2 linked regions of the Drosophila melanogaster genome follow. The protein of the gene in region 1 interacts with the protein of each later gene in a pairwise test. Each region holds a gene or a part of one and is shown on either strand. Other genes may lie near its edges. The genes, in order: CG15764 and SdhBL.

What was found.
Region 2: the proteins of CG15764 (region 1) and SdhBL interact in a two-hybrid assay, tested with the Drosophila melanogaster proteins (one large-scale study listed by BioGRID).

The regions. Positions count from the first base shown.
Region 1 is NC_004354.4:5,867,111-5,870,958, forward strand, and holds CG15764 (uncharacterized protein), read left to right. Parts: upstream 1-1,984; 5' UTR 1,985-2,071; coding exon 2,072-2,953; 3' UTR 2,954-3,156; downstream 3,157-3,848.
Region 2 is NC_004354.4:18,892,385-18,897,107, forward strand, and holds SdhBL (succinate dehydrogenase, subunit B (iron-sulfur)-like), read left to right. Parts: upstream 1-2,061; 5' UTR 2,062-2,277; coding exon 2,278-2,509; intron 2,510-2,640; coding exon 2,641-3,514; intron 3,515-3,570; coding exon 3,571-3,778; 3' UTR 3,779-4,197; downstream 4,198-4,723. Other genes in the region: Flacc (Fl(2)d-associated complex component), read right to left, coding at 1-301, 375-1,068.

The sequences.
Region 1 (3,848 bases):
AATCATTCAAATATGGATTGTTATACCTCGTTAAGTTTGTATTTAAATTCCCAATCGAACTGTGTCCAAAAATGGGAATTCTATTTTTTAGCCATTTTTTGTAAATTTTGATGATGTTACCCCTTCCGAAAATGCGAAAAATGACTCAAAAATTATTTTTTCTAAATTGGTCCAAAAGTGATACAGATGGTTAGCCTTCGTTATTAGCTGCTCAAAACAGTTATTTCTTTGGTTTTATGATCATTTTTAGTCAAGTTATGATGAAAACGCTCATCTAAAGTTGTTTAATTTTTGCCAAAATCATTTTTTTCGATTTTCCGTCATAAAATAGTCAGTTTTTTGGCCACAACTTTAAAAATAATTGTCTGAATACGGAATGTCATATCACGTTGAGTTCGTATTTAAATTCCCAATCGAACTGTGTCCAAAAATGGGAATTCCATTTTTTAGCCATTTTTTGTAAATTTTGATGATGTTACCCCTTACCGAAAATGCGAAAATTGGTCCAAAAATTAATTTTCCTAAATCGGTCAAAAAGTGATAGGGATGGTTAGCCTTCGTTATTAGCTGCTCAAAACAGTTATTCTTTTTGCTTTCTGATCACTTTTAGTCAAGTTATGATAACAATGCTCATCTAAAGTTGTTTAATTTTTGCAAAATAATTTTTTTCCATTTTCCGTCTAAGATCTCAGTGTATGTCTATAGTCTTTTGGATGCTTTTTTCTCGTACCTGTCTTTCTATGCGTTTGTTTTCCATTTCACCTGCCCAGTTTTTCGTACTCATCGTTGGCATTCCAAAAAAATGGAGTGCCACGTGACTCCTCGTTGTGGTGGTTTAGGGGGGGGGGGGGGAGGACTATATAGGTCGGGCGGATTGACGCCGCTTGTGCATTGTTTCGAGGGGGCGGACAAAGCACACAAATAACTGTCAAAGTTTCAATTCTTTTCGAAAGTAAAGCCCGGGTAAAAAAAAAAAAAAAAACAAGAAACCGAATCCGAATCCAAAAGCAAACAAAGGCAGAACAATGGTCGAGCAAATTGAAAGCTCTCGATTGGTATTCCTCTATTCCGGACTTGTTTTCCCACTTTTCACTTTTCATTAAAACAGAAGCAGCACGGAAGCGTTGAAAAAAAATCCGCAAAAAACAGCGAAACTAAAATTGAAGTCGCTCTACAAATGGATAAACTCAGTTTGGCAATGGATTTTATTTACAGATCTCATTCAAGGTTCAATTTATGAAACGATTAATAGTTAAAGCAATAAATTTTTTAAAGGGCCGTTCAAGTAGGTTCCATTATCCTTACATCCGCGATGAATGCATGGCTGTTCTGTCCAACCGACACGATAATGCACATACTCATACATATGTACATATATGTTGCACATCAATCCCCCTTTCGCCGACATGCAAAGTGCAACACCTCTCGTTCTTCGAACAATTTTAATTATTTCCACACGCAGCAGCGACGCACTCAGTAAGTCCATGGGCGGCAGAGGGAACCGGCAAAAGAGTGGTCGTTGGAGTGGGATGGTGGGGGGTGGGGGGGCGAACCCGACCGCAGGGAGTGTGTTGTTGGCTTTAACGGGGAATTAAGTCGGGCAACAGGAAGTCAGCGAGCACAATAATTAAGATGAGCGCTCGAGGGGCAATTATGTGACATCAACTTGCCAATTTTAAAACACCCCCGCCCCCCCGCAATCACGAACTCTCCGCATCCCTTTATCCTTCAGTCGAAGGATAATGCGAACGTTTTGGCCAACAGTGGGCTGTGTATAAAGATTTCTAACCATATATAAATATTCTTCGAACTGCATACTTTGCGACACATTCATACACTCAGAGAAAAAAACCTTTGTAAACTTGTAATCTTGGAGTTGGAGTTTTCCGAAACCAGTAGGCCCGTCTCCAACTGGCAACACTTCATTTCACCTAATTTGACAGGGACACACACAACACGTTTGCTCTACGGTTCGGTCGGTAGTACCAAATCTTATATACACTACATCTTCACAGTATAGCCATATATATATATTAATATTATCAAAATTTTCCACTAAACCTGCTTTGGAATGAGCACAGAACATCTGAATGACGCGGCGGAGTCCGTGAGTGCCCGGAGTTTGGCTTTGGATCGCGCTATCGTCAATTTGGTGCACCAGGCCCGTCGCCTCCATTTGAACAGCGTGAATGGCTATACATCTCTGGAGGCATCTCTGGAGAAGGCAGTGCCAGAGTTGCTCACGACTAGGAGTGATACCGCACACCCCACCACCACAGCGACCAGCTCGGCAAGGTCTTTCCCGAAGCGTAGGCCCAGTAGCCTAGCACCACGACCTGCGCCCAAGGCTTTCAAAATGCGCAAGACCGATACGCATCTGAGGACCCCACGTGTCGTCCAGTGTAAGACGGCCCGTATCCCGGTGACGCCACCACCACCGCCACCCTCGCCGCGTTGCCCAAAACCTGGGGAACTTAGTTCGGCCATGGACATGGCCGATCTGCTTCGGATCGAGATCGCCGAGACGGATGCACTGTTGGATCAAATGCTATTCGATGCCAAGGCACTCGAACGCCAGGTGGCGATCCAGTGTCAGTTGCAGAGCGATGCGGAAATGATCCGCAGCCTGGAGATGGAGTACAGTGGGCGATCCATGAGATATCTGATAGAGGCCATTCAGTCGGACTGCGAGAGCCAGGATGTCCAGGATCTCTGGAGCCGATGTCAACGCTCTTTGGAACGCCACGCGGAGCGACAGACGGAGCTGGAGTCCAAAGAGGGTCTGTATCTGGATCGGAATCCAGGCAAGGGCACCGGCAAGGGCACCCAAACCGATATGGCTGACTCTCAGGACGAGATGCTACCTATCTCGTCCAATTCGATTTGCCAATGGTTGCGAAGGGCGATGGGTTCTTTAAGCCAAGAGGATCAGGTGCAGGAGATGGCCATCTAGCGCAGGCCAGCCTTGAATAGTATTTGAATAAAGATACACAACTCTAAAATCACTTGTGTGCTCTGCTGTTTTAACGATGGCCCATAGAAATATTGAAAAGCTGCGATTAGACTAGAACTGCGAGGATTAATTAACTACTACTTGAAAAAGTATATATATTTGTTAACTGATTTATACAGTGATACAGCTCAGTGATTTGACCGAACTCATCTTACAATCTATCTATCCATTTAATAAAAAGATATTCGAAAATTTCTCATTTCTACATTTCGAGTGAAAGTACCACTGTGCCGCCGCAACTTTGTGTCTGCCTTTGAATGGTTGTGTGAGGAAAGTTTTCTTGTTAAGTTGCAGATTGAATGGCGCCGGTAAACACGGTGCGGCAAGTGCAGGGCTCCCAGCTTCGAGGACACCATGCATCCATGCCTCTGATTGAGCCAAATCCTGGCTCATAACTAATTGCCAGCAGCGACGACGATGGCGCTGGCAGCGGTGCAAAGTTTAAATTAAGTTGCGTGTCATAGTCGAAAAGTTTTCCACTTATTCAAAGAGGCACGTGCTCCACTGAGCACTACTCCACGGAGAAACTCCTGTCCTCCACTGGCCAATAACGCCAGCGAAGACGGAGGATTGACAAAAGAAATAATAACCAACGGATGGGAAATATATGCATTACTGCTTTACGTGCAAACAAAGTTGCAAATATAATGGAAAATCCATAAATCACAAGAAGCTACTGATAAAGTTAACCACTTAAGTAATTTAAAATGATAAGTTAACTGGGAATCAACATCGAAAATGCCGTGGTATATTTAATATTTTTTGGATTACATTTACACTTAGTTATTCCAACTAATAAATAGGCTTCTTTTATTTAGACATTTAATCAAATGCA
Region 2 (4,723 bases), about 13 Mb from region 1:
TCCCGCTCCCGTTGACGTTCTTGGCAGCGAGCCAAGGCCTCAGCGCGCTCCTTATCCCTGGCTGCCTCCCGTTCCGCACGCTCGCGCTCCCGATCCCGACGATCTCGCTCCCGCAATGAGAGATCGTGGCGTTCGCGCTCTCTTTCTCGTTCTCGCTCGCGCTCCCTTTCCCGCTCCCGTTCCAGGGACGGAGTACGTCCACGTGCGCGGGTCTGGATGATGATCTTCTCTCGCGACATCAGTTGGTGATGCATTCGCGAGGATGAGCTGCTGCTGCCGCCTCCAAGACCAGAACCTAAACCTTAAAGTCAAGCAAAATTAATGGGTTAGTGGGTTGAGCCTAGACATAACTATATGTAGTATCTGATAGTTACCTGGACTCTTTTGCCGCTTACCCACGATGTCCTGATGGATGCGAATCTTGGTGGTGGTGGTAGTGCTGCTGCTCGGCGGACTCCTACTGCTGCCCAATCGATGATGGTCTCGCTCTCTGTCTCGTTGGACGACGCGCAGCTTGTCCCGCTCCCGTTGCTCCTTGCTGGCAGCCCGTAGCCTCTTTCGCTCGGCCAGCTTCTTTAGCTTGGCTCGCGTCGTCGGCGACAGGGAACGATGGACGTGACCACTGAGGGCGGCGGCCGCCCGTTTCTTAAGGCGCGCTTCCTTCAGTTTCCGTTTGATATGATTTCGCTTGGCCACCAGCTTCTTTTGCACATGATCCCGTTTGTCTCGCTTGCGGCGCGACGACGATGGTTCATCTCCGGACGAGCTGCCGCCGCGCCGTGAGCTCTTCTTTTTGCGATGATGACGCTCCGCGGAGCGCGGATGATGCCCATGGCCGTGGGTATGGGGATGACCGTGGACGCTGCCACTGCCGCCGGGACCACCGGCGCCACCAGGTACGCCCACCCCCACGCCGACGCCGCCCACGCCCTGCTCGCTGTCCGTGCTGCTGTACGAGCTGCTCCCGCTGTCGGAGTCCGAGGTGGAGTCCGAGCTGCTCGAGTGCGTCGCACTGTGACGGGCGGCCTTCTTGTAGCGGCGCAGCGACTCCTTGGCCTTCTTCTCCATCGCCGCGATCTCCGCTAGCCTGCGCGCCTCCGTTTTGGCTGCTTTCTTTTCGTACTCCGGTCGAAAATCAGCACGGCTATGCGGCTTATAACTAGTTGCAGCGTGTCTTGTGGTATAATGTCCTTGTTCGGAGGCGCGGACTTGCCTTGTTGTCTATTTTGTTGGCGTTTTCTTTAACTCTTCTTCTTCTCTATTTTCCTCTATATCTTCGTGTTTGTTGTTATCGATAGTCGATTGGCAGGGCATCGCGACCATCGATTACAGTCAGCACGGCGGTACATATCGATCGGTATAAGTTTGAAAATATTGTTTATTATTGTATCACATTATTATAATAAAATATAATTAAATAATTAAGTGCCTTTAACTATAAATAAATATTAATTTAACATTAAAAATATTATTAAAATTAATAATATTAATTAATACTTGTATTTATATTAATATATTGTATTTTTGTAACAATTTCTGCTTAAAATGAGTTCGGTTTTGGATTGAATTACAATTTCTATATCAATTTACCGGTTCAGCAACGGGGATTCAAATCTGACTTGTTATCCATTTTTATACCCGTTACTCGAAGAGTAAAAGGGTACCCTAAATTTGTTGAAAAGTATGTAGCAGTCAGAAGAAGGCGTTTCCGACCATGTACAGTATATATATTCTTGATCAGGAGTCGATCTAGTCATGTCCGTCTGTCCGCCATGTCCGTACCTAGAAGGTTGAGATCCAGCATACAGATTCTAGAGACAAAGACGTAGCGCAAGTTTGTTGATCTTTTTTCGCATTTTTATTAATCTTGTAAATTTCTATCGATTTGCCCAGAAAATGATAAAATTTCGCGTTCTCACATCCACTAGCTGAGTAACGGGTATCTTATAGTCGAGGAACTCTCTTTAGTTGATTTAAATTCCACGCATCCAAAACATTGTATAAAGCAGCCTGTTCTACTACTCAGTTAAACTGAACTTTTCATTTCGAAAAGATTTTCAAATCCAGCTGGCTATGCCTCTAGTGTCAAGTCGTATTACGGGCACTTCACCGGCTTCTCCTCAGTTTTGCTACACAGTTCGACACTTCAACACCTCAACACCTCAACACCTCATCGCCTCGGCACACATTCTCTCTCAACAAAAAAAAAAAAAAAACACATATATTTTTATAAGTACACATTTTAACTTAAAGTCTCATTCATTCGCTCGAAAACCGATGAATTTGTTGCGCCGGCAGCCTCGGCTGCTGAATAAACGGAGCACGTGGCTGTTTAGAAATTACGTGTTGGCCAACAGGGATGTGTCCGAACCCGTTTCCCGTCCTGCGGCGCCTATGTCCACCCTATCGATACCCGGACCAGCGCTGGCTGCCGCCACCCCAGTATCCGCCGTATCCCTGGTACCCCGGTGCACCCACTCCAGCCTCCAAGGAGGTGGACAAGGAGCAGGTTAGTTCTAAGTGAAAAGTTTTCTGATTCCACAATTTTCTGGGTTGTCAATGACTTTGTCATAATGACATTTCATAAATGACACCTGCACTTATTGATATGCTTAACTGAAATTTCTATATTCATTAAAGGAGGAAGAGGGCTCAGAGGATCAGCCACCGGAGGATCAGCCGCCGGAGGAATCGCCACAAAACGACAGTACTCCGGAGGAGCAGCCCCCGCCGGAGCCGCCAAGCCGGGAGGAGCAGCCCCCGCCGGAGCCGCCAAGCCCGGAGGAGCAGCCCCCGCCGGAGCCGCCAAGCCTGGAGGAGCAGCTGCCGCCGCCGCCGGATCCGCCAAGCCCGGAGGAGCGTCCACCGGAAAGCCAGCTTCGGGCAACGCACCAGCAACGCCTCCACCTCCACCACCTCCTCCGCCTGCTAAATCTGCACCCCCAGTGAAAGCGAAGAAGCCGCGATTGAAGACCTTCGAGATCTACCGCTGGAAGCCCGGGGATCAGCCGCAGACGCAGACCTACGAGGTGGACCTGGAGCAGTGCGGCGCCATGGTGCTGGATGCCCTGATCAAGATCAAGAACGAGATGGACCCCACGCTGACCTTTAGGCGCTCCTGTCGCGAGGGCATCTGCGGCTCCTGCGCGATGAACATCAATGGAACAAACACCTTGGCCTGCGTGTCGTCCATCGACCAGAATGAGAGCAAGTGCTGCCGCATCTATCCACTGCCGCACCTGTATGTGGTGCGGGATTTGGTGCCGGACATGAGCCAGTTCTACGATCAGTACCGCTCCATCCAGCCGTGGCTGCAGCGCAAGGATCTGAAGCGGGAAGCTGGAACGGCACAGTATCTGCAGTCCGTGGACGATCGTCTGGTGCTGGACGGGCTGTACGAGTGCATCCTGTGCGCCTGCTGCCAGACCTCCTGTCCATCATACTGGTGGAACAGCAATAAGTATCTGGGTCCCGCCGTCCTCATGCAGGCCTATCGCTGGGTCATTGATTCCAGGTGAGTGAGGCCATGTTGCTGCCAGTTTCCCCAGTGTGCTAAGATTTGCTTTGCAGGGACGAGGCCACCGAGCAGCGACTGGACTTTCTCAAGGACCCCTGGAAGCTATACCGCTGCCACTCGATCATGAACTGCACCAACACGTGCCCCAAGCACCTCAATCCGGCTAGAGCCATCATTCAGCTGAAGCAGCTGCTTGTGGGACTGAAGAAGAAGGGAAAACCACAACTCAAGACCGACGCCCTTTTCGCGGGAAAGGCGTAGGAGGACAACGAAATATCGACATAACGCCATGGGACTTAATAGATATAGATATAGATATACATATGTAGCTATAGTTATAGATATAGATATACATATGTAGCTATAGTTATAGATATAGATATACATATATAGATATACATATACATATACATATACACATATACAGATACATATACATATACATATACATATATAGATATAGATATAGATATAGATATAGATATAGATATAGATATAGATATAGATATAGATATAGATATAGATATAGATATAGTTATAGATATAGTAGGAATTAGGAATGCTATACTGTACACACTGGGCAATACACCGATACATCCTATTAACTACATTTTAACCAAGGACCTCATGGACTTTACGTTAGATAGGTGATAATAAAAGAAAATCGATGTGATTGAATCGAATATTCTGGGTAGACTTTCTAAAGAATGCTGCACAAGATCGTCTTCTATTAATTGATCAATTGAAAGACAATCTTTACAAATGCCATCATGGGTACAAAATAAAGAGATCATCGGGCAGATGGATTGCAGTTGGACAGATGAATCCAACTGATACCAAGAGCGCCTAGCATCTCCATTCCCCTCTTCGTAGATCCAGATCCCAATCCCTACCCCGATCCCGATCCCGATTCCGATTCCGTGTTTGTGTGCTATTTCTGCGCCGCTCGTTGCAATTAAGTGGGAAAATGCTGTTGCAATGTGGATGTTAATGCTCGTGTCTGCACCAGACGCATCCAAACAAATCACACATAAAGAATGGAATCGGATGAAATGAGCCACTTCCCACACTTGAAAAAATTACACGGTGTGCTTGAGCACGAAACTTTCTTAGTACATTATTTAAAGCAAACAAATTTATTGCCGTGCAGGCCAGGAGATTTGTTTTCCAATTGGCCTGGAGCAGGAGCAGGAGCAGGAGCATTGG